Linked DNA regions of Macaca fascicularis. The protein of the gene in region 1 binds, or shares a complex with, the protein of each later gene. Links are inferred from orthologs where the notes say so. Each region holds a gene or a part of one and is shown in the gene's direction. Other genes may lie near its edges.

What was found.
Region 2: GTF2H5 (region 1) and POLR2B share a complex: the UniProt entries of both Homo sapiens proteins name them as parts of the TBP-based Pol II pre-initiation complex. The link is inferred for Macaca fascicularis from reciprocal best matches to the Homo sapiens genes GTF2H5 and POLR2B.

What each region holds. Positions count from the first base shown.
Region 1 is NC_088378.1:66,513,993-66,529,166, forward strand, and holds the start of GTF2H5 (general transcription factor IIH subunit 5), read left to right. Parts: upstream 1-5,103; 5' UTR 5,104-5,149; intron 5,150-6,627; 5' UTR 6,628-6,665; coding exon 6,666-6,700; intron 6,701-15,174. UniProt on the Homo sapiens protein: Component of the general transcription and DNA repair factor IIH (TFIIH) core complex, which is involved in general and transcription-coupled nucleotide excision repair (NER) of damaged DNA and, when complexed to CAK, in RNA transcription by RNA polymerase II.
Region 2 is NC_088379.1:76,888,475-76,903,811, reverse strand, and holds the start of POLR2B (DNA-directed RNA polymerase II subunit RPB2), read left to right. Parts: upstream 1-6,150; 5' UTR 6,151-6,237; coding exon 6,238-6,256; intron 6,257-13,723; coding exon 13,724-13,796; intron 13,797-15,337. Other genes in the region: NOA1 (nitric oxide-associated protein 1), read right to left, coding at 829-1,034, 1,533-1,697, 3,675-4,818. UniProt on the Homo sapiens protein: Catalytic core component of RNA polymerase II (Pol II), a DNA-dependent RNA polymerase which synthesizes mRNA precursors and many functional non-coding RNAs using the four ribonucleoside triphosphates as substrates.

The sequences.
Region 1 (15,174 bases):
CAGATTTTTTTTTAATGACCACAAATTATTCCTTTTCCTATAACCATGATCTTTGGTAGTTCCCTCCCACGGTGACTTTAGATTGATCTTACGAGTAACTTTGGCCATAGGACAACAGAAGCATAATGCAAGCTGAGACTTGGGAAGTACGTGCACATCGAAGCTTCTGTCTTGTTGCTCTTGAGAACCCTGTGACCAACACCATGTAAAGATGCCTAGGTTAGTCTGCTAGATCACAAGAGAAATGTCCAATATCCCCATTAATGAAGCCAACAAGTACCAACTGACAGCCAGCACCAGCCGCCAAGCATGTGAAGCCACATCGAACTAGCCAGCCCCTAGCTGATGGTACAAATCCATATTCAGCCCTTAGCGTGCAAGCAATAATAAATGTTTTAGCCAGTAGCCTTTAGGATGGTTTATAATGCCTCAAAAAGCTGACATGTAATTTCTAAACTTTATACGAGATATATGAGGTTGCTGCCAGCATAACTTGGTATACTGTTTCACAGTAAATTTTACTTTTTTATAAGTAGAGGGAATAGAGGAATACACTATAAAATAACGATAAAAAGTATACCATAGGGCCAAGTGTGGTGGCTCATGCCTATAATCCCAGTGATTTGGGAGGCCAAGATGGGATGATTGCTTGAGACCACAAATCAACTGACTATATCTGTGGCACATGCCTGTAATCCCAGCTACTCAGAAGCCTGAGGCAGGAGGACTGCTTGAGCTCAGGAGCCCAACACCAGGCTAGGCAACATAGTGAGACCCACATCTCAAAAAAACAACAAAAAAACCCTAATGGAATATGTAAGTATGGGCCTATTCCACTCCATCGATCTATTTATCTATCCTTATACAAACACTGCACTGTTTAGATTACTGTAGGTTTTTTGTTGTTGTTGTTACTGTGTTTGTTTTGTTCTTGTTTTTGACAATCTCACTATGTTGCCCAGGCTGGATGGAGTGCAGTGGCCCGATCTCAGCTCACTGAAACCTCCACCTCCCAGGTTCAAGCAATTCTCCTGACAGCCTCCCAAGTAGCTGGGATTACAGGCACCCACCACCACACTCGACTAATTTTTGTATTTTGGGTAGAGACAGGGTTTCACCACGTTGGCCAGCTGGTCTTGAACTCCTAACTTCGTGATCTACCCACCTTGGCCTCCCAAAGTGCTGGGATTACAGGTGTGAGCCACCGTGCCCTACAGATTACTACAGATTACTGTAGTTTTTAAAGTAAGTCTTGAAGCTAGCAGTATAAATTCTCCAGCTGTGTCCTTCCTTTTCAAGATGAACTATTCTAGGTCCTTGGTACTTCCACATAATTTTAGAGTCTGCTTGTCAATTTCTATTTAAAAGCACCTTTAAGATTATGGGGCCAGGCGCAGTGACTCATGCCTGTAATCCCAGCACTTTGGGAGGCCGAACGAGGTCAGGAGATTGAGATCATCCTGGCTAACACGGTGAAACGCCATCTCTACTAAAAATACCAAAAAATTAGCCAGGAGTGGTGGCGGGCACCTGTAGTCCCAGCTACTTGGGAGGCTAAGGCATGAGAATGGCCGAAACCAGGAGGCGGAGCTTGCAGTGAGCCAAGATTGCGCCTGCACTCCAGCCTGGGCAACAGAACAAGACTCCATCTCAAAAAAAAAAAAAAAAAAAGATTACGATGGCGATTACATAAAATCTGAAACACTGATGTTAAGTAGAGAACGGGGAGAAATTTTTAGACTAAGAAAGACACAGAAAGTAAAAGGGAAGAGACTATAACTTAAAAATAAAACAAATATTTGAAAATTCCATTAAGTTTAACAACATGGAGGTCACTGGGATCTTCATATCAGCAGTTTCATTGCCCTGGTAGAAAAAGCCAGAGTGAAACTTCATTTCATGCTTTCATTCTGATTTATAAAACCTGAATTGTAGCTGGGTACACAGATAAGAAAAAAGACTACATCACCTTTCTTTCTTTCTAGTTAACGATGGGCACTTACTAAGAAATGGCTAATGAAATATGAGTGGATGTGTCGTGCAATTTCTGAAAAGTGTCCTTAAAAAGAAGGGTATGCGCCTTTCTTCCTCCTTCCCTCCTCCCTCTTGCTAGAATGAGCAACTGACAGTTTGAATTAAAGCAGTCATCTTACCATGAAGCATCTTATTAAGGACGGTAGAGCAGTCAGATAGAAGAATCCAAGTCCCTGATGATTACAGAGCTGCTGCCATAAAAGCATGGCTGCCTACCTATGCAATTACATACATATTTAAGCCAGTATTATCTTGTTTTCTGTGTAGTACAGCTGATCTAATTCTAACACACCACAGTTCTTAATATCTATATGCCAGTGATCTCAGAGTACCTCTAGCTACGACCTTTCCTGACCCATCTATCCAACAGCTATCGGAACATTTTCACTTAGATGTCCAATAAGCCTTTCATACTTAACTATCCAAAACAGAATTATTTACTTTTTCTATCCAAACTCTTCTTCCACAAATCTTCTCCATCACCATCCACCAAATGGTCAATGCTTTTTTATTGTAAATGGTAAATGATCTACCTCTTAACTGAAGCAAGAAAACAGTTGTTGCCCTTGATTCCTTGTTTTTCCCTTACCCTACATCCAAAGCATGCATAGTTGCTCTTCTCTATCATCAAAACATACCCCAAAATCCATCCATTTTTCTCTGTATTCACTGCTACTCTTGTCTAGTTCAAGCCAATATCATCTCTCATTTGGAGTAATAAAATGACACCTCAATGGTGCTTTTTGTAACTTAAGAAATCCTTCTCAGATTAAAAAAAAAAAAAGTTCTGGAGATAGATAGTAGTGCTGGTTGCACAATGTGAATGTCACTGAACTCAACATCTCAAAATGGTTAACATGATAAATCTTATGTGTAACAAGATTTAACAAAGCAAACAAAAAAGAAATCTTTCCTAGAGACAATGGTCTCTTATATTTCTTTCCAAATACCTTGCAGCTGTGCCATTCACATTTAGGTCTTTATCTGGAAACTGTCGTCAGTAGTTTGAAAGAAAGAATCTAATCCTGTCTGTATTCCACAACGATGCCACATATTTCATCATCCTTTATTAGAATATTCTATGCTTTCCCCCTGCTTTGTAATACTACTTAGTGGTATACTAAGCTCCCATCATAAACACGTATGTTTCTAGTGTCTCTATTCTGTTCCATGAATCTACTTCTCTTTCCTTGAATCAATATCATACCACCTTAATAATTACAACTTTATATTAAGCTTTGGTATCTGATAGAGACCTTATTTTTCTTCTTCTTCAAAATTGACTTCACTATTCTTGGCCCTTTGCCTTTCCATATAAATTTTAAGTTCAGCATGTCAAGTTCCATAAAACAATATGGTGATTTTAATTGGCATCACACTGAATTTGTACAATTGAGGAAAACTGACATCATTTTGTTGAGTCTTTCCATCCATGAATACGGTATATCTTACCATTTACTTGGGTCATCTTTTGTGTTCCAACAGAGCCTTACAATTTTCTGTCTAAAGGACTACGCAGCTTTAGGTTGATCTACTTCTAGATAACTTCAGTTTTCAACGCCATTATGAATAGTGTCTTTATTATTAAAACTCCTAGTTAATTGTTACTGATATACAGAAGGTTTTTAAATGCAGAAATTAAGGCAATTTCTGACATCCCCCGGCCAAAATAACCCCTCTAGTCACCCTTTATCACATCACCAAATGGTACTTATTCCTTAACCGATTTGTGTCTCTCTGCCCCAACCAAAATTAGTTACTTGTTCACCATTGTATCCCAAGTGTCTAGAATAATAGCTGGCACACATCAAGTGCACAAAAATGGAACTGATGAGGTCAAGGAAGAGAATGTATGCAAGATGAAAAAAAGCAAATTGAAAGAGGGAACTAAATGGAAGAGCTGGGTTCCTAAGCGATCACATGAACACACACGATGTAAAAAAAAAAAAAAAAAAAACGCAGTATGAGGTCGGGCGCGGTGGCTCACACCTGTAATCCCAGCACTCTGGGAGGCTGACGGGGGCGGATCACCTGATATCAGGAATTCCGGACCAGCCTGGCCAACATGGACAAACCCCGTCTCTACTAAAAATACGAAAATCAGCCGGGCGTGGTAGCGCACGCCCGTAATCCCAGTTACTAGGGAGACTGAAGCAGGAGAACTGTTTGAACCTAGGGGACGGAGGTTGCAGTGAGCGCAGATCGCGCCACTGCACTCCGGCCTGACCGACAGACCGAGACTCCATCTCAAAAAAAAAAAAAAAAAAAAAAAAAAAGAAGGTAGAGCTTAATTCGGGAAGTACAATTTAACCTAAGGAACAGAAAACAAGAATCTCATATCTCAACTAGTAAAAATAATGAGAGTGCTCCTTTAGATTACAGAACAGATTTGGGGAAAGGGAATCACTTCAGAAGCTTCTGGGGTCTTTCACTTTTAAATGACCGTTGCCGAATTTAGAGATCTCTCAGTATTCAATCGTTTCCATCTCTGGGGTTAGAGGGGGAGCCGGAAGCGGTGGTCTGGAAGGCTCAGAAGTGACCGGTGAGGCCCTTTCCTCCTCCTCCTCATTATCTCTCCGTGACTACCGAGCCCGGGAAGAAGGACCGGTAGGTGCACTCCCCGAGGCCTCGACAGCAGCCAGAGAAAGGCAGCGACCGGGAAAGACGAGTCAGGCTCGCGACCACCAGAGAGAGGCCCTCACACCCAGGGGAGCGTCAGCGGGTCGGTCCGGTCCGCGCGCCTTACGGTGGCGCCCGGCCGTGCCCGGCCACTGCCCTCCCCATTCTCCACTCCCCACCGCGCCCAGCTGCTCCGACGCCCCCGTCCGCCCCCACACTAGCCCGGCCTTCACGTCCTACCTGCCGGCACGCAGACTCAACCTGTCCCCAACTGCTCGCCGGACCCAGTTGTCTGGGGAGCCCTCCCCTTTCCTCGGCTCCCGGCCGGGGCCTTCCACCCGGCGGCGGGCGGCTTATGACCCCGCCCCCTCGGCCCTCTCCGGGCCCGCCTACTGCCGGTTCGCTCCACTCACAACAGCGTCCCTAGCGCGATGACGTATAGGCGCAGGCGCACTGTGTCGGCGACGCCGAGGCGCTTCTGCATCTGTGGGCTGAGGTGTGTGGCAAGCGTCCGAGTGGCTGGGGAAAGTGGGGTGTGGGCAGACTGAGGGGTCCCAAAGAAAGAGGGGAAGAAGAGGAAAGCCCAAGAAGCCTGTCCACCGGGTGCTGGGGGCACAGGGCGGTGTCCCCCACTCTCTCCAGGCCCTTCCTGGCGGGGCCGCACTGCAGTTCCGCACTCGTTTAATCGTGGGTTTCCTGTGGGGCTAGGGCTCGCCCTGCGCCCAGGTGTAAGTGGAAGTTAGTTAAGTGGGCGGACGCTGAGTGATTTCTTTCCAGCCTAGGTCCGCACAGGACGTGATTTATTTAGTGAAGGGGCACAAGATCTGGAAACCTGGCTTGTACTTTTTTCCCCTTTCCCCGGGAACTACGGCTTAATCTCTTCCTTTGGTCTCCTCATCTGTAAAATGAGGTGGTTGGGGCCGGGCCCGGTGACTCACGCCTGCAATCCCAGCTCATTGGGAGGCCGAGGCGGGTGGATCACTTGAGGCCAGGAGTTCGAGACCAGCCTGGCCAACATGGTGAAACCCCGTCTCCACTAAAAATACAATAAATTGGCCGGGCACGGTGGCTCACGCCTGTAGTCCCAGCACTTTGGGAGGCCGAGGTAGGTGGATCATTTGAGATCAGGAGTTCAAGACCAGCCTGGCCAACATGGTGAAACCCCGTCTCTACTAAAAATGCAAAAATTAGCCTGGCGTGGTGGCGGGCGCCTGTAGTCCCAGCTGCTCGGAGGCTGAGGCAGGAGAATATCTTGATCTCCGGAGGCAGAGGTTGCAGTCAGCCGCCATCACGCCACTGCACTCCAGCCTGGGCGACAGAGCGAGACTCTGTCGCAAAGTATATGTGTGTGTGTGTATATATATATATACACAATACAATACAATAAATTAGCTGGGCTTGGTAGCTCTTGCCTGTAGTCCCAGCTACTCGAGAGGCTGAGGTGGGAGAATGGCTTGAACCTGGGAGGCAAGAGGTTGCAGTGAGCTGAGATCGCACCACTGCACTCCAGCCTGGGCGACAGAGCCAGCCCTGTCTCAATAAAATAAAATATAAACTAAAAGGAGGTGGTTGGGCTCACTGTGTAATTTTTGAAGCACCTTTCAGAACTATCTTTGAGTCCTGTCTCCCAGGATCTTACCCTTTGTCATTCTCCTGAATGGGAAAAGAAATCCTTTGAATAACGGACAGTTTACACCTGGGTTGGGCACACTGGTGTAGAGTTAGGCTGCTTGCTTCTATTAGGGCTAATTGACCTTGGGTAGAGTTGGTTGGCAAGTAAGATGTGGCAATATTCCAAGTAGACTCATTTTAATTTTGTTAAAAAATCAGAATGTCTCTTAATGTTAACTGTCTTTCATAGACTTAACTGTTAAATATTGACACTTAATTATTTTGCCTCATTTCAGAGGCAGTCCCCAAAGTATATGAAAGTTAATGATTTTTAATTCAGTGTTACCTTCTTCTTTTTATTAGCATTCTTGAGGTCATCTGAACCTTCTGACTAAGAAAACATGGTCAACGTCTTGAAAGGAGTGCTTATAGAATGGTTAGTAGTTTTGATACTTCATGAGTTTTAAGTTTAAATATTGAATCTTGACTTACGTGTGTGTCCTTTCTAAAACCCTGTTGTTTTTAAGATATGAATGAAATCAAGTCTTTCACTTTTAACAAGTGGCACAGATTTTGTTGCAAAGTTCCTAGTGCCAGATTTCAGTCCCTCTGTTGAATTGATGGAACTGGCATGATCAGAGGCAGCATATTTGTTAGATGAGTCATCTTTAGAGGAACAGTGCTTGCATTCTCCTCAAACATGACTAGAATTTTAGGTCCTGAAAGAGTTCAGGAACTTGCTTAAGTCTTTACCATTACAAACTGTAGACTTTAAAGAGAAAAACAAGAGAGCCAAGTGGAGAAGGTTTCTTAAATTCCTTTAGATACATTCCAGAGGAGAAACTAAAAACCATAAATGGGCAGGGTTGAGGTCCTCAAAGCAATCCAATGTCTAGGAACCCTGCTCTGTGGACACTCCCATTGTCTGAAAATACTACTGTCTACCTTTCTGTGCCTCTAATATGAGCCAGTGCATGGATAATGATACTGTTTACTGTGATGGCAAAGCTGAGGAGGAGAAGGACCAAACCCTTGGACACTGCCAACAACATAAGCTCATGCATTATGATTAGTGTATGATAGTGGTGAAGGCTGCTTTTGTCACCATCTTGGTTCTGGCTGGTTTCTTTACTGTATCCTCGCTTATCAGTCGGGTCTTCTGACCTGTTGTTTACTGTCTCTCCTGTCTTAGAAACTAGTTCTGCTGAATTCCTATCTCACAGCTGCTTCCACTGTCCCAGGAATCTCTCCAATTTGAATCTCTCCAAATTCCAGTCCCATCATTGTATTAATATAAGCTAATGTGTAATAACTTATATAGTGCTGTTCCACATATATCTTAAGTTGGCTTCACTTACTGCCATATTTAAGCTCCATTTCTATCAGTTATGTTTAACTGATTTTTAAGTCTGCAGAGATTTGCTAAAGAAGTAAACCAAATTATGATGATGGCCATTTATTCTGACCTTCAGTGAATTGAAAAATCAGGGCACTTGGATATAGTTAAATTCTTAACTCCCAAGGGCTTATCACATACTAAAATTGAAGGCTATAAAAAAAAGTTTTATGTTTATAAATTTACATTTTTATGTCAAAACTGAAAGGTTGGTGAAAACTTCCTCTTTGTTGGGATCCACCATTAACTGCCAGGCTCACAGTAAGTATTCTCCCAAGTCTAGCCTCCCAAGCAATTCCCAAAGCAAGCAACACATGACCACAGTATGTCTGTGTCCAGTTCCAGATGCTGGAGCAGACCTCTGGTTTAACAGTTGCCACAATTGGTTTGGCAAGTGCTTCAGCAAAAATTTGTTGGCAAGGTGCAAATTCCAACCAGTTTACATCACAATAGCAAAGAATCTGGAGAAATATGTATTATTAAACCACCCTTATCCTTATGAGTTTGGCTTCTAAACCTGTATTGTTTCTGAGAAGCTAGTAAGAAGTATGACAGGCCGGGCGCGGTGGCTCAAGCCTGTAATCCCAGCACTTTGGGAGGCCGAGACGGGCGGATCACGAGGTCAGGAGATCGAGACCATCCTGGCTAATAGAAACCCCGTCTCTACTAAAAATACAAAAAACTAGCCGGGCGAGGTGGTGGGCGCCTGTAGTCCCAGCTACTCGGGAGGCTGAGGCAGGAGAATGGCGTAAACCCGGGAGGCGGAGCTTGCAGTGAGCTGAGATCCGGCCACTGCACTCCAGCCTGGGCGACAGAGCGAGACTCCGTCTCAAAAAAAAAAAAAAATGACAAAACCAATCTAACCATTGTTCTGTTTTTTTCTCAGCATGTATAAATCTTTTCTTAGCCTTTGCTTCTCAGTAGGGCCATGTTCACTGAAGTTTTCCAGGCACCCAAAACAGTGCCTGAGACAGAGACAGAGAGAGAAAGAGATACACATACACATATATAGCTATGGCTTAGTAAATATTTGTTTACCGAATGAATTTTGTTAACAGAATTGAGTCCAGGTTTGTGATCTCAGGCAAAATTCCAAATTTGTTAATGTTCCTTTATAGCCTCTCTAGTCCTACAGTGAGATTCACAGTGGATAAGATGAGATTCTTGATAAAGTTTTAGTTCAAAACAGATGTGTATACTAGGCCTCCATTTAGCATGTTATATATCAAAATAGCTTGTAAATGAGGAGGCTGTTGTCTTCAGTCATAGCTTTTAAAAAGCAGGCATGCCACCAAGCTGCTGATGGAAGTGTAATCCTGAGAAACAACTGAAAGCAACTTGTGATGGGTGTTTTGTGCTTTTATATCCTTTAACACAGTAACTCCGTTTCTATAAGTTTAGGAAATCACTGGGCGCAGTGGCTCACTCCTGTAATCCTAACACTTCGGGAGGCCGAGGCGGGTGGATGACTTGAAGTCAGGAGTTTGAGACCAGCCTGGCCAACATGGTGAAACCCTGTCTCTACTACAAATACAAAAATTAGCCAGGCATGGTCGCAAACACCTATAATCCCAGCTACTGGGGAGGCTGAGGCAGGATAATCACTTGAACCCAAGAGGCAGAGGTTGCAGTGAGCCAAGATCGTGCCACTGCACTCCAGCCTGGGTGACATGGTGAGACTCCATTTCAAAAAAAAAAAAAAAATTTAGGAAATGATCAGAACTGCCAATAAAAATGTGTGTATTTAATGTGCTAGAAAAAGAAATTTGTTGATTGTGGCATATTTTAATCAAATAATATAGCTATTAAAATATTCTCAGACATTTTAAGAGATTCAGGGAAATGACATTGCACAATGATGTTAAGTAAAAACACCTGGATTCCTGTATTAACACTGTTTTCCATGTGACATGTGCTATGGAAGCACTTGCTAATATTAATTTAGTTTTCACAACAGCCCTTTGAGGTAGGTGCTATCATCCCCATTGCATGTACAAGGTGAGATGCAGGGAAATTAATCAATTGCTCAGTTACACAGCTGTTGTTAAACTGGGATTTTTTAAATCCTAGTATTGTGGCTCCAGAGCCCAAGCTACTAAACTTTACATATACTATCTCTCCATTATAAAACTAAGTATAATATTGTATTTGCTTTTTTTTTTTTTTTTTTTTGGTGGCGGAGTCTCACTCTGTCACCCAGCCTGGAGTGCAGTGGCACGATCTTGGCTCACTTCAGCCTCTGCCGCCTGGGTTCAAACAATTCTCCTGCCTCAACCTCTCAAGTAACTGGGATTACAGGCACCTGCCACCATGCCTGGCTAATTTTTGAAGTTTTAGTAGAGACAGGGTTTTACTATCTTGGCCAGGCTGGTCTTGAACTCCTGACCTCGTGATCCACCTGGCTCAGCCTCCCAAAGTGTTGGGATTACAGGCGTGAGCCACCGCACCCAGCCTATGTTTGCTTTTTAAGAGGTTATATGTATGTCTTAGAATTATACCCATATATATTCACAGGTTAATGGTTTCGTAATCAAAATAGTAAATTGCTGAGACCAGCTCGGTCGGGGAGACCCTAACCCAGCGGCGCTAGAGGAATAAAAGACATACACACAGAAATATAGAGGTGTGGAGTGGGAAATTAGGAGTCTCACAGCCTTCAGAGCTGAGAGCCTCGAACAGAGATTTACAGAGATTTACCCACGTATTTATTAACAACAAGCCAGTGATAAGCATTGTTTCTATAGATTATAGATTAAAAGTATGCCTTATGGGAAACAAAGGGATGGGCCGAAATAAAGGGATGGGTTTGGCTAGTTATCTGCAGCAGGAGCATGTCCTTAAGGCACAGATCGCTCATGCTATTTTAGTTTGTGGTTTAAGAATACCTTTAAGTGGTTTTCCCGCCCTGGGTGGGCCAGGTGTTCCTTTTCCTCGTTCCAGTAAACCCACAACCTTCCAGCGTGGGTGTCATGGCCATCACGAATATGTCACAGTGCTGCAGAGATTTCGTATATGGCCAGTTTTGGGGCCAGTTTATGGCCAGATTTTGGGGTGCCTGTTCCCAACAGTAAATCATTTGATAGGGATAGAACTAACTGTAATTTAAACCTCTCTGCCTGTATCCTCTCACAGGCTCTTGGCATTTTAATTGCTCATTTGAGTACCTACTATGAGCAAGATGTTTTAGAAATATTCTCTGGTCCATCAACTTTGCAGTGTAGCTATGGTACTAACATTGCTGTTACAGATCACAAGCTCTTTGGCTCCCTATGTAATAAAAATTAACACAGCTACACAGTTTTCCCAGATGAGGCTTTTAATTCAGGGTTTATCCACAAATGCAAGGGAGACAGTACAGTAGTAAGAACTCTGCTGCTGATCCCCACAAAAGCTGACAGGGACTTTTTGATTAGGCAAAGCATGGGAATTGACATCAGGGATAAGGTATGCAGGCTGGGCTGGGCAAAGCACATGAAGGGTACAGTATGTGGTCAGCATCTGTGGTTGCAGTGGTTGTCTTGAGTAATGGGCCACCTGGTGATCTGGCCAGTGACTACGAGTACCAGGTTGCAAATCAGTTGTTCAGCTTTCTTTATTATTATTATTATACTTTAAGTTCTGAGTTAAATGTACAGAACATGCAGTTTTGTTACATAGGTATACATGTGCCATGGTAGTTTGCTGCACCCATCAACCCATCACCTACACTAGGTATTTCTCCTAATGTTATCCCTCCCTTAGCCCCCCACCCCCCACAGGCCCTGGTGTGTGATGATCCCCCACTGTGTCCATGTGTTCTCATTGTTCAAATCCCACTTATGAGTGAGAACATGTGGTGTTTGGTTTTCTGATCTTGTGATAGTTTGCTGAGAATGATGGTTTCCAGCTTCACCCATGTCCCTACAAAGGACATGAACTCATCCTTTTTTATGGCTGCATAGTATTCCATGGTGTATATGTGCTGCATTTTCCTAATCCAGTCTATCATTGATGGACATTTAGGTTGGTTCCAAGTCTTAGCTATTGTGAATAGTGCCACAATAAACATATGTATGCATGTATCTTTATTGCAGAATGATTTATAATCCTTTGGGTATATGCCAAGTAATGGAATTGCTGGGTCAAATGGTATTTCTAGTTCTAGATCCTTGAGGAATTGCTACACTGTCTTCCACAATGGTTGAACTAATTTACACTCCCACCAACACTGTAAAAACTTTCCTATTTTTCCACAACCTCTCCAGCATCTGTTGTTTCCTGACTTTTTAATGATTGCCATTCTAACTGGTGTGAGATGGTATCTCATTGTGGTTTTGATTTGCATTTCTCTAATGACCAGTGATGATGAGCATTTTTTTTTTTATATGTCTGTTGACTGCATAGATGTCTTCTTTTGAAAAGTGTCTGTTCATATCCTTTGCCCATTTTTTGATGGGGTTGTTTGCTTTTTTCTTGTAAATTTGTTTAAGTTCTTTGTAGATTCTGTATATTAGCCCTTTGTCAGACCGGTAGATTGCAAAAATTTTCTCCCATTCTGTAGGTTGCCTGTTCACTCTGATGATAGTTTCTTCTATCTGTGCAGAAGCTCTTTAGTGTAATTAGATCCCATTTGTCAATTTTGGCTTTTGTTGCCATTGCTTTCGTGTTTTAGACATGAAGTCTTTGCCCATGTCTATGTCCAGGTTTTCTTCTAGGATTTTTATGGTCCTAGGTGTTATGTTTAAGTCTTTGATCCATCTTGAGTTGATTTTTGTATAAGGTGTAGGGAAGGGGTCCAGTTTCAGTTTTCTGCGTATGGCTAGCCAGTTTTCCCAACATCATGTATTAAATAGGGAATCTTTTCCCCATTGCTTGTGTGTGTCAGGTTTGTGAAAGATCAGATGGTGGTAGATGTGTGGTGTTATTTCTGAGGCCTCCGTTTTGTTCCATTGGTCTATATATCTGTTGTGGTACTAGTACCACACTGTTTTGGTTACTGTGGCCTTGTAGTATAGTTTGAAGTCAGGTAGTGTGATGGCTCCAGCTTTGTTCTTCTTGCCCAGGATTGTTTTGGCTATGTGGGCTCTTTTTGGGTTCCATATGAAGTTTAAAGTAGTTTTTTCCAATTCTGTGAAGAAAGCCAGTGGTAGCTTGATGGGGATAGCATTGAATCTATAAATTACTTTGGGCAGTAAGGCCATTTTCACGATATTGATTCTTCCTATTCATGAGCATAGAATGTTTTTCCCTTTGTTTCCTTTCTTATTTCCTTGAGCAGTGGTTAATAGTTCTCCTTGAAGAGGTCCTTCACATCCCATGTAAGTTGCATTCCTAGGTATTTTATTCTGTTAGTAGCAGTTGTGATTGGGAGTTCACTCATGATTTGGCTCTCTGTCTGTTATTGGTGTATAGGAATGTTTGTGATTTTTGCATGTTGATTTTGTATCCTGAAACTTTGCTGAAGTTGCTTATCAGCTTAAGATTTTGGGTTGAGATGATGGGGTTTTCTAAATATACAATCATGTCATCTGCAAACAGAGACAATTTGACTTCCTCTCTTCCTATCTGAATACCCTTTATTGCTTTCTCTTGCCTGATTGCCCTGGCCAGAACTTCAATACTATGTGGAATAGGAGTGGTGAAAGAGAGCATTCTTGTCTTGTGCCGATTTTCAAAGGGAATGCTTCCAGTTTTTGCCCATACAGTATGATATTGGCTGTAGGTTTGTCATAATTAGCTCTTATTATGTTGAGATGCATTCCATCGATACCTAGTTTATGGAGAGTTTTTAGCATGAAAGACTGTTGAATTTTGTCGAAGGCCTTTTCTGCTGTTAAATTTTGTCGAAGGCCTTTTCTGCATCTTTTGAGATAATCATGTGGTTTTTGTCATTGGTTCTGTTTATGTGATGGATTACATTTATTGATTTGCATATGTTGAACCAGCCTTGCGTCCCAGGGATGAAGCCTACTTGATCGTGGTGGATAAGCTTTTCAACGTGCTGCTGGATTCAGTTTGCCAGTATTTTATTGAGGATTTTCTTTTTTTTTTTTTTTTTTTTTTGAGACGGAGTCTCGCTCTGTCGCCCAGGCTGGAGTGCAGTGGCGAGATCTCGGCTCACTGCAAGCTCCGCCTCCCGGGTTCACGCCATTCTCCTGCCTCAGCCTCCCGAGTAGCTGGGACTACAGGCGCCCACAACCGCGCCCGGCTAATTTTTTGTATTTTTAGTAGAGACGGGGTTTCACCGTGGTCTCAATCTCCTGACCTTGTGATCCGCCCGCCTCGGCCTCCCAAAGTGCTGGGATTACAGGCGTGAGCCACCGCGCCCGGCGAGGATTTTCACATTGATGTTCATCAGGGATATTGGCCTAAAATTCTCTTTTTTTGTTGTGTCTCTACCAGGGTTTGGTATCAGGATAATGCTGTTCTCCCAGTTCCCTGACCTCCTTTTCCACTGAGCTTATCCTCCACCTCATCACAGCCACTCATTCTCATAGTTGTAGCTAGACTTGTCCTTCCTTACCCACATGCCAGCTCTTCAGTCTCATTTCAGGCATCAGCCTCTGACCACCACCTCCTCTTTTGAGTTCACTCCCTCTAATACCTCACCCCATCATTTCTTCAACTTCGCCAGACCTATGGTCTATTGATATTCCCATCTGTTCAGATTCCCACCCCTTTCTAGCTTCCAATCTACCTTTCTGGTCATTGTAGCAAAATTTCTCAGTAAAGAGAAGACTTGGTTCTCTTCACTGTCTCTGATTTCTCTCCTCCCATATGACACCCACTCCAGTCATGCTTTCCCTATTATGACTCCACCAAAACTGCTATTGTCAAGGTCCAGTGACTTTCTGAATACAGTGGGCAATTTTCAGTCCTTATCTTGCTATACCCTGTAAGCTTTTGACAGAATTGATCACTCCCACTTCCTGAGTAGCCTTTGTTCATGTCGCTTTCAGGACTCTTTGGGTTTTCTTTCTACCTCAGTGGTCACTTCTTACTCAACTTCTTCACTCAGGGGCCAGTAGGCATCTCAAAATATAACATCAAAAACTAAACCTTTTTTTTTTTTTTTTTTTAATACAGTCAGGATATCTCACTGTGCTGTCCAGGCTAGTCTCTAACTCCTGACCTCAAGCCATCCTCCAGCCTAGGCCTCTCAAAGTGCTGGGATTACAGCATAAGCCACTATGCCCTCCCTAAAACCAAACTTGATCTTACCTGCAAACCTCTTCTTACACATTCCTCTTTATCTCAGTAAAAATCTCCAGTCTTCCATTTGCTCAGACCAAAAATCTTGGAGTTTCCTTGTCCCTCTTTCTCAAAGCTCATGTCCAGTATTAGCAAATTATGTTGGTTTTATGTCAGTATATATCTAGAATTCAACCACTTCTCATCACCTCCACTATTACCACCTACATCAAAATCATCATCTCTTGCCTGGATGTCACCTCATGGGTCCCCTGCTTCCATCCTTGCCTCTGCCACTCCCAGTCTTTTCTCAACCCAGCAGCCAATATGATCCTTACAATTAA
Region 2 (15,337 bases), on another chromosome or scaffold:
GACAAATAATCCAGATTGTCAGCACAGTAAATGCTCAATGTTTGCTGGATGAACTAATGAAAGAGAAGAAAAGGGAGGGATAGGTGAAGAAGAGATGGGATGTTACACTTTAAAATATTTCAAAGTCTGGCAAGGGAAATAGGTATTACGTTAGTCCCATATGGCTTTAGGGAACAATGGGTGCATGTTACAGGGAGACTGTTCAGCTCAGTACACTCAATATAAAGAGAAGGTCAAAGACCCAAATGAGTTACCTTGGAAGGTGACGGGGCACAGTTTCAGTTAATGGTGAGTCACTCCTGTCAGTTCAAGATGGAGGACCCCTTGATGGATATGTTATAGGGGTAATTCAAGCAGGAACTAGGGAGGTGGACTTCAGTGATATTTATGTTTTTTTCCAATCTCAAAACCTAGGCTTCTGTAAATGTTTCCCTAACTAAGGTAACAATCACAATGATAAGAAATAAGTTGGTTGTCAGCAATGAAGTCTATCAAATGGAACAGAGAACTTGAGGGCATACAGATTCACCCTTAAACAGCTTTTATGAATGAATCAGAACTGAGTCTAAAATGGAAGTATACTTCTTTTCCTGTTTTCTGCCAATTAAGACAGCGGTACTTGTACAATTGAAAGTAAATGTTTCAGAGGCTGATATGACTAGTAATAAAACTCCAGTTTCCCATTTAGCTGGCTCTGCATGCATTACACTCTTTCTCTATTGCAATTCCCCTGTCTTGATAAATTGGCTATATATGAGCAGCAAGCAATATAAACCCATTAAAAAAGAAAAAGAAAGTAAATGTTTCTAAAGGAAACCAAATACATACACAGTTTTCTTTTGTAATTCCAGGAGTGTCATAAAACCAGTGGGCATCTTTCACATCTTGTGCAGTCAATTCTACTTGTTTGGTGGATTTGTGCGTACCCATAACAGGTTCATTTTCCATGTCAAAGGCAAGTGAATCAGCATCAAACTCAAAGGGAACTGTATCCTTCCGTTCTTCTGAATACAAGAATGTCCTTCCAACCCTTCCTAGAACAAGTTATAGTAAGGTTATCAGTCACTCCTTTAATACTTTTGACTCCAGACATAATTTTTATGTTTCCCTCAAACAAGTTACTAAGATTACAGTGTAGGGAAGTGAGACAACAATGATACTTTTTTTTCTTCCAAAAAGCAATGGGAGTCAAACTCTTGCAATCATCAAGTGTGTGTCTGGCGGTGTACATGGAGTGGCAGGGGTGAGTGTGTGTGGAAATCAAACTGTTTTAAAGAAAGCCTGAAAAGATATACCAAGGAAAGACAGACAATCTAATCTAAAGCTGCTGCATGGAGTAAAAACTTTTACTACCTGTACCGCTCTGGGTTTCCAAATAGTAGCCTGAGTGCTAAAAGGCCTCTTTGTTGCAGAACGAGGAAGGCAGTCTCTCCCCACAAAAACTGGCTAGCCTTGGACAACCGTATTTCACGTTGCTTAACAAAGAATTTTAGCATAATACCAACCAGGGTTTTCCCATAGAGGATGCTTACCTACGACATAACCATGCTTTTTCAGGACATTAAGCTGATTTTGTTCTTGCTCACTAAGATCTTCTTCAGCTTGAGTTGAATCTTTTTTAAGTCTTTGATGTCTTTTAAACCTTCTGTAAGGAGTTGGGTTGCAAATAGGAAACTTTAGAAGGTTTAATGTAGTACCTGAAATACACAGAATAAATACATCTTTAGAAAAGGGAATAAGGGGGAAGAAAATGAACATTTTTGAAGATCTACACTGTGTCGGTTACTGTAATAAAACATAAAATTACTGACACTTTACAAATGAGGAAATAGGTTAAGAGATTAGCTCACAGGGGAAACCAGAATTTGAATCCAAAATCTATAGGCCCGATTTCTTTCAATTTTCATCACATTACCATTCAGTATAAAAGTAATATTTGTGTAAAATTCAAAGTGCAAGACAGAGAAGAGCAGCTTACTAAATGAAACTCTGGTTTCAAGGGAACAAATAGGGCAGTCAGTTTTGTAAACTTAAATTTAAACCTGGCTGGGCGTGGTGGCTCACATCTGTAATCCCAGCACTTCGGGAGTCCCAAGCGGGTGGATCACTTGAGGTCAGGAGTTCCAGACCATCCTGGCCAACATGGTGAAACCCCCCTCTCTACTAAAAATACAAAAAATTAGCTGGGTGTGGTGGTGTGTGCCTGTAGTCCAGCTACTCGGGAGGTTGAGGCAGGAGAATTGCTTGAACCCGGGAGGCAAGGGTTGCGGTGAGGTGAGATCACACCACTGCACTCCAACCTGGGCGACAGAGTGAGACTCTGTCTCAAAAAAAAAAAAAAAAAAAAAAAAAAAAAGCGGCCGGGCGCGGTGGCTCAAGCCTGTAATCCCAGCACTTCGGGAGGCCGAGACGGGCGGATCACGAGGTCAGGAGATCAAGACCATCCTGGCTAACACGGTGAAACCCCATCTCTACTAAAAAATACAAAAAAAAACTAGCCGGGCGAGGTGGCGGGCGCCTGTAGTCCCAGCTACTCGGAGGCTGAGGCAGGAGAATGGCGTAAACCCGGGAGGCGGAGCTTGCAGTGAGCTGAGATCCGGCCACTGCACTCCAGCCTGGGCGACAGAGCCAGACTCCCTCTCAAAAAAAAAAAAAAAAAAAGCTAGAATTACAGATGTGAGCCACTGAGCCCAGCGAAGCCACACATCAAATTGCACTAATGAGCCAGGAGTGGTGGCTCACACCTGTAATCCCAGCACTTTGGGAGGATGAGGTGGGTAGATCACTTGAGGTCAGGAGTTGGAGACCTGCCTGGCCAACGTGGTGAAACCCTGTTTTTACCAAAGATACAAAAATTAGCTGGGCATGGTGGTGCTTACCTGTAATCTCGGCGCTTTGGGAGGCCAAGGTGGGCAGATCACGTGAGGCCAGGAGTTCGAGACCAGCCTGACCGACATGGTGAAACCCCATCTCTACTAAAAATACAAAAATTAGGCCAAGTGCGGCGGCTCACGCCTGTAATCCCAGCACTGTGGGATGCCGAGGCGGGCGGATCACGAGGTCAGGAGTTAGAGAACAGCCTAACCAACATGGTGAAACCCCGTCTCTACTAAAATTACAAAAATTAGCTGGGCATAGTGGCGTGTGCCTGTAATCCCCGTTACTCAGGAGGCTGAGGGAGGAGAATCTCTTTAACTCCGGAGGAGGAGGTTGCAGTGAGCTGAGATCTCACGCCACTGAACTCCAGCCTAGGCGACAGAGTGAGGCTCTGTCTCAAAACCAAAACAAACAAAAAAACCCACAAATTTCATTAGGTTCAGACAGTAAAAAGGGCGCACACTTTCTGAAACAATATACAAAGAAGTTACAAAGCAGATCTCCAGAACAGGAACTTTGTTTTGTTCCCTGGTCTATCTCCAGTGCCTAGCGACTGGGAACAGAGAAGTGCTCCATAAACACTGTAATTAGAAAATTACTACAACACATCCTGAATTTTTCCTAGCAGTAAGCTGACACAGAAGAGAGGTATGACCAGAGTGGGGAGAGAATTTGTAAAGGGAAGGGTACCGGCAGCCCGTAGTGGACATTAAGGGAGGATGTAGTCGGTGCCTCAGCTAGGACCAGACGTCCACCTTGTCAGAAAACGAAGAGGGAGAGAGCCTCCTAAAACTCACCTGGCCAAGGGGAGATGGTGGCTCTGTCGATGGCCTCGGAGCCCTTGGCGGTGCAGTAATCGGACTCCAGGAGCGTGTTAAAGAGAGTGGATTTGCCGGCGTTGGTGGCGCCCACTAAGTAGACGTCCCCACGGTAGCGCCAGGAGCGCTGAAGGGCAGAGATCAACTCTTCCACTCCATAGCCGGTCTTGGCGCTGATCAGTCGCACGTCTCTGACCACCGTGCGGGACCAGTTCGGCGGATTCGAATTCTCCCCGTCCTGTGGCTCGTTCTTGACGGGGATCTGTGGCCCTTGGTGGCCAGGGGCCAGCAGGAGCCCGGCCCGGGCACAGTCGTCCCACAGTCGCTCCCGCAGCCTCTGCCGGTAGCCAGGAGCATCCTGGGGCAGGAGGTCCACTTTGTTTCCCAGCACGATCAGCTGCTTGGGGCCCACCAGCGCGGGCAAGTCGGGCAGCAGGGCGTCGGGCAGGTCGAGCAGGTCCACCATGTAGAGAACCAGGGAAGGCCCCGGCGGCCGCAACGCGGCGCTCACCAGCTCCAGGTACTGCTCGCGGCTCACCTGCAGGCGTAGAGCGCGCCGGTGGTGCACCAGCAGCCAGCATCGCTGGCACACGGTCCGCGCCAGCCCGCCGTCTGCCTCCGCCGTGCGGAGGAACTTGTCGCAGGGCAGGTAGCCGGGCACGCCGGGGTCCTGGCAGTGCAGCTCTGCCCCGCAGCCCGAGCAGTTCACGCCGCTGGGCGGCACTGCCGCGTCCGGGTGCCCCACGACCGGGTGCTCCCGGGGCCTGGTCCGTAGGTTTTGCTGTCGCCGCTCCTCCCGCCGCTGCTGCCTCTGTTGCTCCTCCTCCTCCTGCTGTTGCTGGAGCTCCTGCAGCTGCTCTTCGCGGGTGGGCTCCAGCTCCGGCTCCGGGATGTACTCCGGGAACAGAAAACGCTCCTGCATGTCAGCACCTTCTCCAAAGCCCTCCGTGTCCACGGGGTCATAAGGAAGCTCGCGTCCCAGACTCGATGAGTGCTGGAAGGAGGAGGCGGCAGCGCGCCTCCTCCCCAAGAGCGGCTCCCGGAGGCCATGGCGCGCTGCCGTGGGAGCGAATCCACGAAAGAAAAGGCTCAGCAGCCTGAACTGCAGGCGAGCGGGCAGCATGAGGAAATAGCTCCAGGCAAAGGGGCGGAGTCACAAGCGCGCACGCGTACTAGGGCCCGAGGCGACGCGCGTGTTAGAACCGAGACGAAAGCGAGTGGGTACTTGGGAGCTGTCCTGGTTAGTTTTGCGTCTAATCTCGTGAGTTCTCGCGATTTAAGCGCCGAGACTGATAACCTACTTAAAGCTATAGCAAAGGCATTGGAGGCACTGGAGGATTGAGCTAGATGGGCAGAAGAGAGCGATGAGCGTTTTGAGTTTTTTCACTTTCAGGCTTAACGCCTCACTGCTAGCCCAAGCCGCCCGTAATAAATCACATTTAAAAAGGAGCTTCCGGGCCGGGCGCGGTGGCTCACGCCTGTGATCCCAGCACTTTGGGAGGCCGAGGCGGGCGGATCATGAGGTTAGGAGATCGAAACCATCCTGGCTAAGACGGTGAAACCCTGTCTCTACTAAAAATACAAAAAATAAACCGGGCGTGGTGGCGGGCGCCTGTAGTCCCAGCTACTCAGGAGGCTGAGGCAGGAGAATGGCGTGAACCCGGGAGGCGGAGCTTGCAGTGAGCCGAGGTCGCGCCACTGCACTCAAGCTTGGGCGACAGAGCGAAACTCCGTCTCAAACAAAACAAAACAAAACGGAGCTTCTGGCCGGGCGCGTGGCTGGAACGGTAGGCGAGCGGGCAGCTCGCCTCTAATCCCAGCACCTTGGGAGGCCGAGGCGGGCGGATCACCTGAGATCGAGACCAGCCTGGCAAATGTGGTGAAACCCCGTCTCTACTAAAAATACAAAAATTAGCCGGGCGTGGTGGCGCGCGCCTGTAATCCCAGCTATTTGGGAGGCCGAGGCAGGAGAATCGCTTGAACCCGGGAGACGGAGGTTGCAGTGAGCCGAGATCGCTCCACTGCACTCCAGCCTGGGCAACAGAACGAGACTCCATTTCAAAAAATAATAAATAAATAAAAATAAAAATTGCTTCGTGTTTTGGTCTTTATAAAGGCAAATCAATTGAGCATCCCAATGTCGCGGATTCACAGAACGAGCACTTTTTATTAATAAGTATACTTGGCTTTGTTTTCAGGTGTCGTTATTTGTGCAACGACATTGAAAAACAAGCAGAAATAAAACATTAACGGGACGGATGCGACAGCAGATTGCGGGAGCTGTCCTCTCAATCAGCCACCGGCAGCGGCGGCCCACAATTTGCGCGTGTGCAACCCAACTCCCGCCCAAGCTTGCCCTACAATTTGCGCAGGCGCAGATCCTAACATTGGCGTCCCTGTGGGCGGCCTCTTGTGTGAGACGCACAGTATTCTGGGAACGTCGGAGACGGAAGTTACTTGGTCTTTAGCTCCCGGCGCTGGTGGCTTCTGCGCGCTTTTTGTCTTTGATTTCGAGTTAGGAGCTCGGGAACCGTTTGGCAATATGTACGACGCGGATGAGGGTAGGTGAAACACATGCCACGGCGGTCCAGCAGGGAAGCTTGGGGAACTGATTGGATTGATGATTGGGGCCTTCCCTCCCGCCGGCCGGACAGTCCCTAGCCTTGTTCCCACACCTTTCAGGCCGGGAACGAAACTGGGGTAGGGAGAGGCAGAGGGTGCAGGGAACACAGCGTTAATGTTCCCGGTTAGGTTCACTGCTGCTCTCTGCACTTTCTCGTTCCCTTAGATCTGATCCTCGCTTCCTGTAGTGAAGTAGCGTGCAGAACCGTAAGATAAATTCCGTGGTTTTGAATTTGAAGCAAAGAGCACCCTTTAAAATTTTTCCTTAAAGCCACAGTCGACTTACTGAATAGCTGAAGTGTTGAATGTCAGCCTGTGTCAGGCAGTGTGGAAGGCCCTGGAAATATATCGGGACAGAGAATATCGGGGGGAGGGTGGGGGGACTCGGTTTAGTCTGACATTTCTTCATGCTGTTTGTAAGTCAAAGTAAATTGTCTTAAAGGATGGCGTTTAAATTTCCTCTTCTCACAGTGTCACAGTTCTCACAATGTCACAGTTCTCAGATGATATGTATTCTGCTACACTGGACCAATGTATAATATCTGTTTCGGCCGAGCGCGGTGGCTCACGCCTGTAATCCCAGCACTTTGGGAGGCCGAGGCGGGCGGATCACAAGGTCAGGAGATCGAGACCACGGTGAAACCCCGTCTCTACTAAAAATACAAAAAATTAGCCGGGCGCGGTTGTGGGCACCTGTAGTCCCAGCTACTCGGGAGGCTGAGGCAGGAGAATGGCGTGAACCCGGGAGGCGGAGCTTGCAGTGAGCCGAGATCGCGCCACTGCACTCCAGCCTGGGCGACAGAGCGAGACTCCGTCTCAAAAAAAAAAAAAAAAAAAAAAAAAAAATCTGTTTCTTTGCGCATATAGAATTCTTAGTAGTGGCCGAGCGCGATGGCTCCCACCAGCACTTTGGGAGGCCGAGACGTGCAGATCGTTTGAGGCCAGCCTGACCAACATGGGGGAAATCCCGCATCTACTAAAAATACAAAAATTAGCCGAGTGTGATGGCGCGCGCCTGTAATCCCAGTTATTCGGGAGGCTGAGGCCACATCGCTTGAGCCCAGGAGGCAGAGGTTGCAGTGAGCTGAGATTGCGCCTCTGCACCACAGCCTGAATGACAGAGTAAGACTCTTGTCTTGAAAAAAAAAAAAAAAAAAAAAAAAAAAAAAAACAGAATTCTTAGTTGAATCTAGTGTATTTTCGTAGCTGCCTTTTCTATTCTCCATATCTACTAATGCAAATCTTATTTTCTTCTAGCTCTCAATTCCTTGGCCACCCCTTACATCTCCTCTCTTTATTCCCTCAGCTACTTCTGATAAATGAGATGGAAAAAATTGAAGCAAAAGCTTAAACTTTTTAAACAATTTTTTTTGAGAGATAGGGTCTGGCCATGTTGCCCAGGCTGTTCTCAAACTCCTGAGCTCAAGCCATCTGCCTGTCTCAACCTCCCAAAGTGCTGGGATTACAGGCGTAAGCCACTGTGCTCAGCCAAAAACTTAAACTTTTAAAGCTGTTTAAACTTGTCTCATTTATATCTTGTGTTCTAGAAATTTATTAGCATCATTATAGTACTTGTTCTTTTTAACTGTTATCTCAGTAGAAGAAAAATTCGAAAAAAAGATTTTTTAAAGCATAATTTTTGGCTAGGTAATACATTCTCAGCTCACAAGCCAGAAAGTTTAAAAACGTTAAAGTGGGGTGGCTGGTACAGTGTCTCACGCATGTTATCCCTGCATTTTGGGAGCTTGAGGTGGGTGGATCGCTTGAGCTCAGCAGTTCAAGACCAGCCTGGGCAACAGGGGAGACCCCCTCTCTATAAGAAATGGAAACATTAGCTGGGTGTGGTGGTGCTCACCTATAGTCCCAGCTACTTGGGGAGCTGAGGCAGGAGGATCACTTGAGCCTTGGAAGTTGACACTGCTGTGAGCCAAGAACAAAGTGAGACCCTGTCTCAAAAAAAAAAAATTAAAGTGTCAGGTCTCCTTCTTACCCACCATCTGCCCAGTTTGAACTCTCCACAGTGGGTAACTACTGTTACAATAGATTTTAATCACTCCGCAGTTTCTTTTTTTTTTTTTTTTTTTTGACAGTCTTGCTCTGTTGCCCAGGCTTGAGTGCAGTGGTGCAATCTTGGCTCACTGTAACCTCCGTCTCCCAGGTTCAAGCAGTTCTCCTGCCTCAGCCTCCCTAGTAGCTGGGATTACAGGCGTGCACCAACATGCCCAGCTAATAGTAGTATTTTTAGTAGAGACAGGGTTTCTCCACGTTGGCCAGGCTGATCTCAAGCTCCTGACCTCAGGTGATTCACCTGCCTCAGCCTCCCAAAGTGCTGGGACTGCAGGTGTGAGCTACTGCGCCCAGCCTCCACAGTTTCTTTATGCATATTTGAGCAAATATAAATGGGATTTTTCTCCTTTTTTAAAGACAGAAAGTAATATTCACACTTTTCTCCACTTTTAGATTTTGCTTAATGTATCTAGATTTTTGTATCAGTACACAGAAAGCATCGCCCCCGCCCCTTCGCCCACTCCCCCAGTTACTTAGTTTGTGTGGATGTACCATAACTTAAGTAGTCTCTTGATGGATATTTGATTTATTTCTAGTCATTTTCGGGTTCAGTGCTGTAAATGAATAATCTTGTACATATAATTTGCCCAAGTATGTCTGTGGGATGCATTTCTACATATAAAATTGTCACGTCAAATGATACACACCTTTAACATTTTGCTAGATGATGCCAAGTGACCACCATAGTGGTGATTTGTACTAGTTTTGCAATGTATAATGATCCCGTGGAAAAAAGAGTTTATCATAGTTGCTTTAGCAGTGAGCCTACATTTTATTCTTGTCCATGTCCTCTGAAATGTTTATTAGATAATGTCCTCATCAGTTTTCAGCCACTATGTGAAAATGTCAGATTTCTGTCATCCACATGGAAACAAGTTAAACTTTTCATTTTTTCCTTTTTCTTCTAGTATTTTACCTTTCTCCTTTCATTCACAGCCAAACATAAAAATAATAAGCTGTCCTTGTTTCTAATTTTCATCTTTCATGTCCTTTTCAACTGATTACAATATGTTTCTACTCATGCTACTGCATTAAGATAGCTCTAAGATTCACAGTGACTTCTCAATTGATAAATGAGATGGATATTTTAAAAATCTTATCTAAACCCTGTGGTCTTCAAAACTATTGATGACATCTTCCTGGAAACTCACTCAGCTTTCTAGCCACATCACTTCCACTTGATTCTTCTTATCTGACTTTTGTTCTCATTTTCTTTCCTGTTCACATTCTCTTTGGGTGATCTCATCCATTTTACATTGTTTAGTTACCATTTGTATGTGGATGACTTCTGAATGTATACTTCTAGTTTAAAAGCCCTGGTATCTAACTGCCACTGGCCAACTAGGGTATCTCCCAGGCTACTTCACCTTGTCACTGCCCAAACTGAGCTAATTATTTTCTTTTGCTATTCCCCTCCCAAAGTCACTGCCTCCTGTGTTCTCTGTCTCGGTGAAGGGCACTGTTGGCCCTCTGTATCTGTAGGTTTCACATCTGTATATTCAATTAATCTTGGATTGAAAATATTAAAAAGCTTGAGGCCAGGAGTTTGAGACCAGCCTGGGCAACATAGGGAGACCTCATCTCTACAAAAAAATTTAAAAATTAGCTGGGCATGGTGGCGTGTACCTGTGATCCCAGCTACTTGGGATACTGAGGTGGGAGGATTGCTTGAGCCCTAAGAGTTTGAGGCTACAGTGAGCTGTGATCACACCACTGCACTTCAGCCTGGGTAACAGTAAGGCCCTGTCTCAACAAAAAAGAGAATATTAGAAAAAAATTGTGCCCTTGTAAAAATGTACAGACTTTTTTTCTTGTCATTATTCCATAAACATTACAAGTAAACAATTCTTTACATAGCATTTACATTGTATTAGGTATTATAAGTAATCTAGAGATAATTTAAAGGATACAGGAGGATGTGCCTAGGGTATATAACAGTGCCATTTCATGTCAGGGACTTAAGCATCTGTGTTTTGGTATCTATGGGAGGTCCTGAAACCAGTCTCCAATGGACACTGAGGTACAACTGTTGTACCCTCTGTTGTTGAAATCAAAAACCTGGCCATCATTTTTGACTCCTCTCTTTCACCTCCATATCTAATCAGTCACCAAGCCCTGTTGGTTCTGTCTCCTAAATACGTCAAATCTGGTCACTTCTCTATCCCCTTCACCATCATTCTAGTTCATGTTGCTGCCATCCCTTGCCTAGATTACTCCTAACTGATTTGTGTACTTCCAATCCATTCTCCACACTGGCCATAGGGATCTTTCAGAAACGAAAATGTGACCTAGCCACAACCCTGCTAAACTCAAATCTCTTGATAAAGGCCAAACTCTTCTTATTCCACTTCCAACTTCACACTCTGCGCTTCCGCTACATTGACCTTCTGTCATTCTTTGAATATGCCATCCTATCTTGCATTATGGGGTCTTTTGCACAATTTGGTTTTTTCTATTCGGTAGGGTTCTTTCTTGACTCCTCCTACCTTTTTCCCTTCCTTTTTGCCTGATTACTCCTGTTTATAACATGAGGTCTCTGCTCAGCTTTTTTTTTTTTTTTTTTTTTTTTTGAGATGGAGTTTCCCTTTGTCGGCCCAGGCTGGAGTGCAGTGGTGCGATCTTGGCTCACTGCAACCTCCGCCTCCCAGGTTCAAGTGATTCTTTGCTTCAGCCTCCTGAGTAGCAGGGATTACAGGCGTGCTCCACCATGCCTATCTAATTTTTGTATTTTTAGTAGAGACGGGTTTCACCGTGCTGGCCAGGCTGGTCTCAAACTCCTGACCTCGTGATCCATCTGCCTCGGATTCCCAAAGTGCTGGGATTACAGGCGTGAGTCACTGTGCCTGACCAGCTTTTTAAAGACAATTTTAGAGACGGGGGTCTCGCTTTGTGGCTCAGGCTGGTCTCGAACTCCTGGTTTCAAGTGTGCCTGCCACCTTGGCCTTCCAGTGGTGGGATTACTGACATGAGCTACTGCACCTGGCCTCTGCGCAGCTTTTGGGAAGTCTTCCCTAACCTCTTCAGGTCTTTGTCAGGAATATTCATATCACTTTTTTTTTTTTTTTTTTGAGACAGAGTCACACTCTTGTCACCCAGGCTGGAGTGCGGTGGCATGATCTTGGCTCACTGCAACCTCTACCTTCTGGGTTCAAGCGATTCTCCTGCCTCAGCCTCCCTAGTAGCTGGGACTATAGGCGGGTGCCACCATGCCTGGCTAATTTTTGTATTTTTAGTAGAGATGGGTTTTCTCCATGTTAGCCAGGCTGGTCTTGAACTCCTGGTCTCAAGTGATCTGCCTGCCTTGGCCTCCCACAGTGTTGGGATTATAGGCATAAGCCAGTGCACCTAGCCTCAAAAAAAATTTGATGAGTGGATGAATAAATGAGTCTCTTTCATGGGTTCATTTTCCTTCATATGACTCTCAAAGTTGTTCCCAGATATCCTGCCTTCAGTCTTCCTTCTCTATGTACAATCTCATTTTTCTCCCACGCATTTGTTAATGATTCCAACTCTGTACTTTTTTTTTCAAATTTTAAAATGTTTATTTTATTGACACAGATACACATGTGTTATATGCCAATGTGTATCTATTGTGTGTTACATGTTGTCTATAATTTAGACTCTCCATTTGAGTTTATATTCGTATATATGTGCCTACTAGAAGTATTTGAAGGGATATGTGATCTGTAGATATCTCTAAAGCCGATCTCATTACCTCTCCTTTTTCCACCATCTTACTTGCTTCTCTGGTATGGCAGTGATACTAACTTTTAATCTCTCATCAAAGCTGGAAATCTCTGAGCTATTATAGATAACTTTGTCTTTCTTACCCTTCCCCCAGGTATAGGGATTAATAATTCCAGTCCATTTAATAAGGGTTCATTAAAAATTTATTTTGTATATGTATCAAATTTTGAACCCAAAGTTTTACAGGCTATGTATGTGTACATTAGAATAAAAACCAAAAATACAGCACACTTATTCTTTCACATAAGATGATGGGATTAATATTAGAGGACCAGTGCATACTGATTTTTTTGAATGCATATTTAAATTACTGTTGCATAACTACCCGAAAATTTAGCTACTTAAAAAATTATTTTGTTATGTTCATGGATACTGTGGGTCAGGAATTTGGACAGGACTTGCCTGCCTTCCACCGTGACTCTGGTTCATTTGGGAAGACATTAAGGCCGAGTGTTGACAGCGGGGTGAGAGATGATCTGTAGTGTTGACTCTCATGTCTGACATGAGACGTAGCTTGGGAGGACTCAAGGACTAAAACTGCTAATGGAGCATCTGTAAGTGACCTCTCCTTATGGTTTGGGCTTTCTCAGAATGTAGCAGCCTCAGAATAGTGTATGACTTAAAAAAAAAAATTTTTTTTTTTTAAATTTAAATTTTTGAGACAGAGACTCTCTCTGTTGCCCAGGCTGGAGTGCAGTGGTGCAGTCTCAGCTCACTGCAACCTCTATCTCCTGGGTTCAAGCAATTCTCTTGCCTCAGCCTGCTGAGTGGCTGGGATTACAGGCATGTGCCACCATGCCCGGCTAATTTTTGTATTTTTTAGTAGAAACGGAGTTTTGCCATATTGGCCTGGCTGGTCTCGAACTCCTGACCTCAGGTGATCCACCCACCTTGGCCTCCCAAAGTGCTAGGATTATTATAGGCCTGAGCCATCACTACTTTTTAATGACAGCTTAGGGCTCCAGAAAGTGTTTTAGCAAACATGACAGAAACTTCATTGCCTTTTCTGACCTGGCTTCTGAAGTCATGCAGCATTGCTTCAGCGGCATTCTCTTAAGTTACAGGAGAGTCAGAATCTACCTGATTCAAGGAGAAAGTGCATAGACCACTATATCTTATGATGGGAGTGTCAAGATCACATTATAGAAGGCCATGTGGGATGGGAGATAGGCTAGTGGCCATCTTTGGAAAATGTAATCTTTCATACCTGTACATGTATGAAATGTTGCTGTAATAGATCGCCCCACCTCAGGGTATTGCCCAGCTGTTGGAATCCTTCCATGGCTCTGCCCCCTCATTCTGTCTCTTACTCTAGTCTCTGAAAATCTTACTGATCAATAAAATGGGAAACTTAAAATTCATACAACTTACATTACAACTCTCTAATAAACCTCTTCGTATATTGGAAGAATACCTGTGTGACATAGACATAAATTATTTTATTAATGTAATTGAAATTTTAGAGAACCTGGGGTGAAAGCATTACTTATTCAGCAGAAAGTAAATATGTTTCTGCTACTTAAAGTTACAGGAGCAAGATGTTAACTAAGTGGCATCTCATTGCAAATGAGTACAATATTTTGTTTTTACAGATATGCAATATGATGAGGATGATGATGAAATCACCCCGGATTTGTGGCAAGAAGCATGCTGGATTGTAATTAGGTAACTTTGGACCAAACTGAATTAGCTTGAAAAGGCACTGTAGATTTCCTGCTTAGTCTTCTTGATAAATAGCTGTTCTATATAAATGTGCTACGTGACAGTAGTTACTTTATTTATATATTTAACATTTTAAGTAATTCAGACCTAAAAATTAACACAAAGAATTCATTTAATCACTTCACCCAGATTCCGAAAATGTTACCCCATACTACATTTCTTTGTCTTTTCTTCTTTTGGTACATATTTTTTTTCTGAAACATGTGAGAATAACTTGCAGATCACTTGATCCTGGGAGGTTGAGGCTACAGTGAGCCAAGATCGCACTGCCGTACTCCAGCCTTGATGACAGAGTGAGACCCTGTTTCCAAAAAACAAAAAAAAGAGTAACTTGCAGACATAAGGACATTCTTTTACATCATCACAATTATGGTGATCTTATTTAATCTGTAGACCCTACCCACATTTTGCCAGTTGTTCCACTCATGTTTATAGCAAAATAAAAATTTTTCTGACCCTGGATCCAGCCTAGGATCACATACTGGATTTAGTTGTCATGGCATATTCTTCCATTTCCTTTAATCTGGAACAGTTCCTCAGTGTGTCTGTTCTTTTTTTTGTACCTTGACATTTTTGAAGAATACATGCCAGTTACTTTTTAGGATGCCTTTCAGTTAGGTTTGTCTAATAGTTCTCATAATTGGATTCAGATGCTTACTTTTGGCAGAAGTGACATAGTCTCAGTGCATCATATCAGGAGGCACGTTTGTTTCGTTACTAGTAATGTTAATCTGATTGCTTGGTTTTCTCATTATTTTAAATAGACAAAGTTAAAATTGGTTTTTAACTTTGTTAAAAACAAATTTGTTAAAATTCACTGCAAATTCCTATCCAATTCTAAGTGTAACTAAATGTGATAAAATTCTGAGAAGCCTTGTATAGGTAAGAAAAGTAACTTATAAGTGATAAAGTAACATCCTGTTATGTTAGGATGTTAAAGGCTTATAACTCTTCTCTCATCCCCTGACCGCTGCTTTATATACAACAACATGACGATGGATGCCTCTCTGAGCCCCATCAGCTCCAAGGTGCATGACCCCTTGGTCAACATTCTCTCTTTTCAAAGAACACATGCTTCCGACATTCTGCCAGTTGTATTTGGAGTCTAACTGAATACCTTTCTTGAATGTTGTTTTGTTAGAAAGATATTGTTTTGCCTGTAATCCCAGCACTTTGGGATGCTGAGGCAGGCAGGTCACTTAAGGTCAGGAGTTGGAACCAGCCTAGCCAACATGGTGAAGCTCTGTCTTTACTAAAAAATAAAAAAATTAGATGAGTGTAGTGGTGCACGCCTGTAATCCCAACTACTTGGGAGGCTGAGGCAGGAGAATCACCTGAACCTGGGAGGCAGAGTTTGCAGTTAGGTGACATGACGTCACTACACTCCAGCCTGGACGGCAGAGCGAGACTCCGTCTCAAAAAACAAAAAAGATATGAGTCAGTGTGTTTGTCCAGAATCTTACAAAAGAAAGTATTGAAAGCTA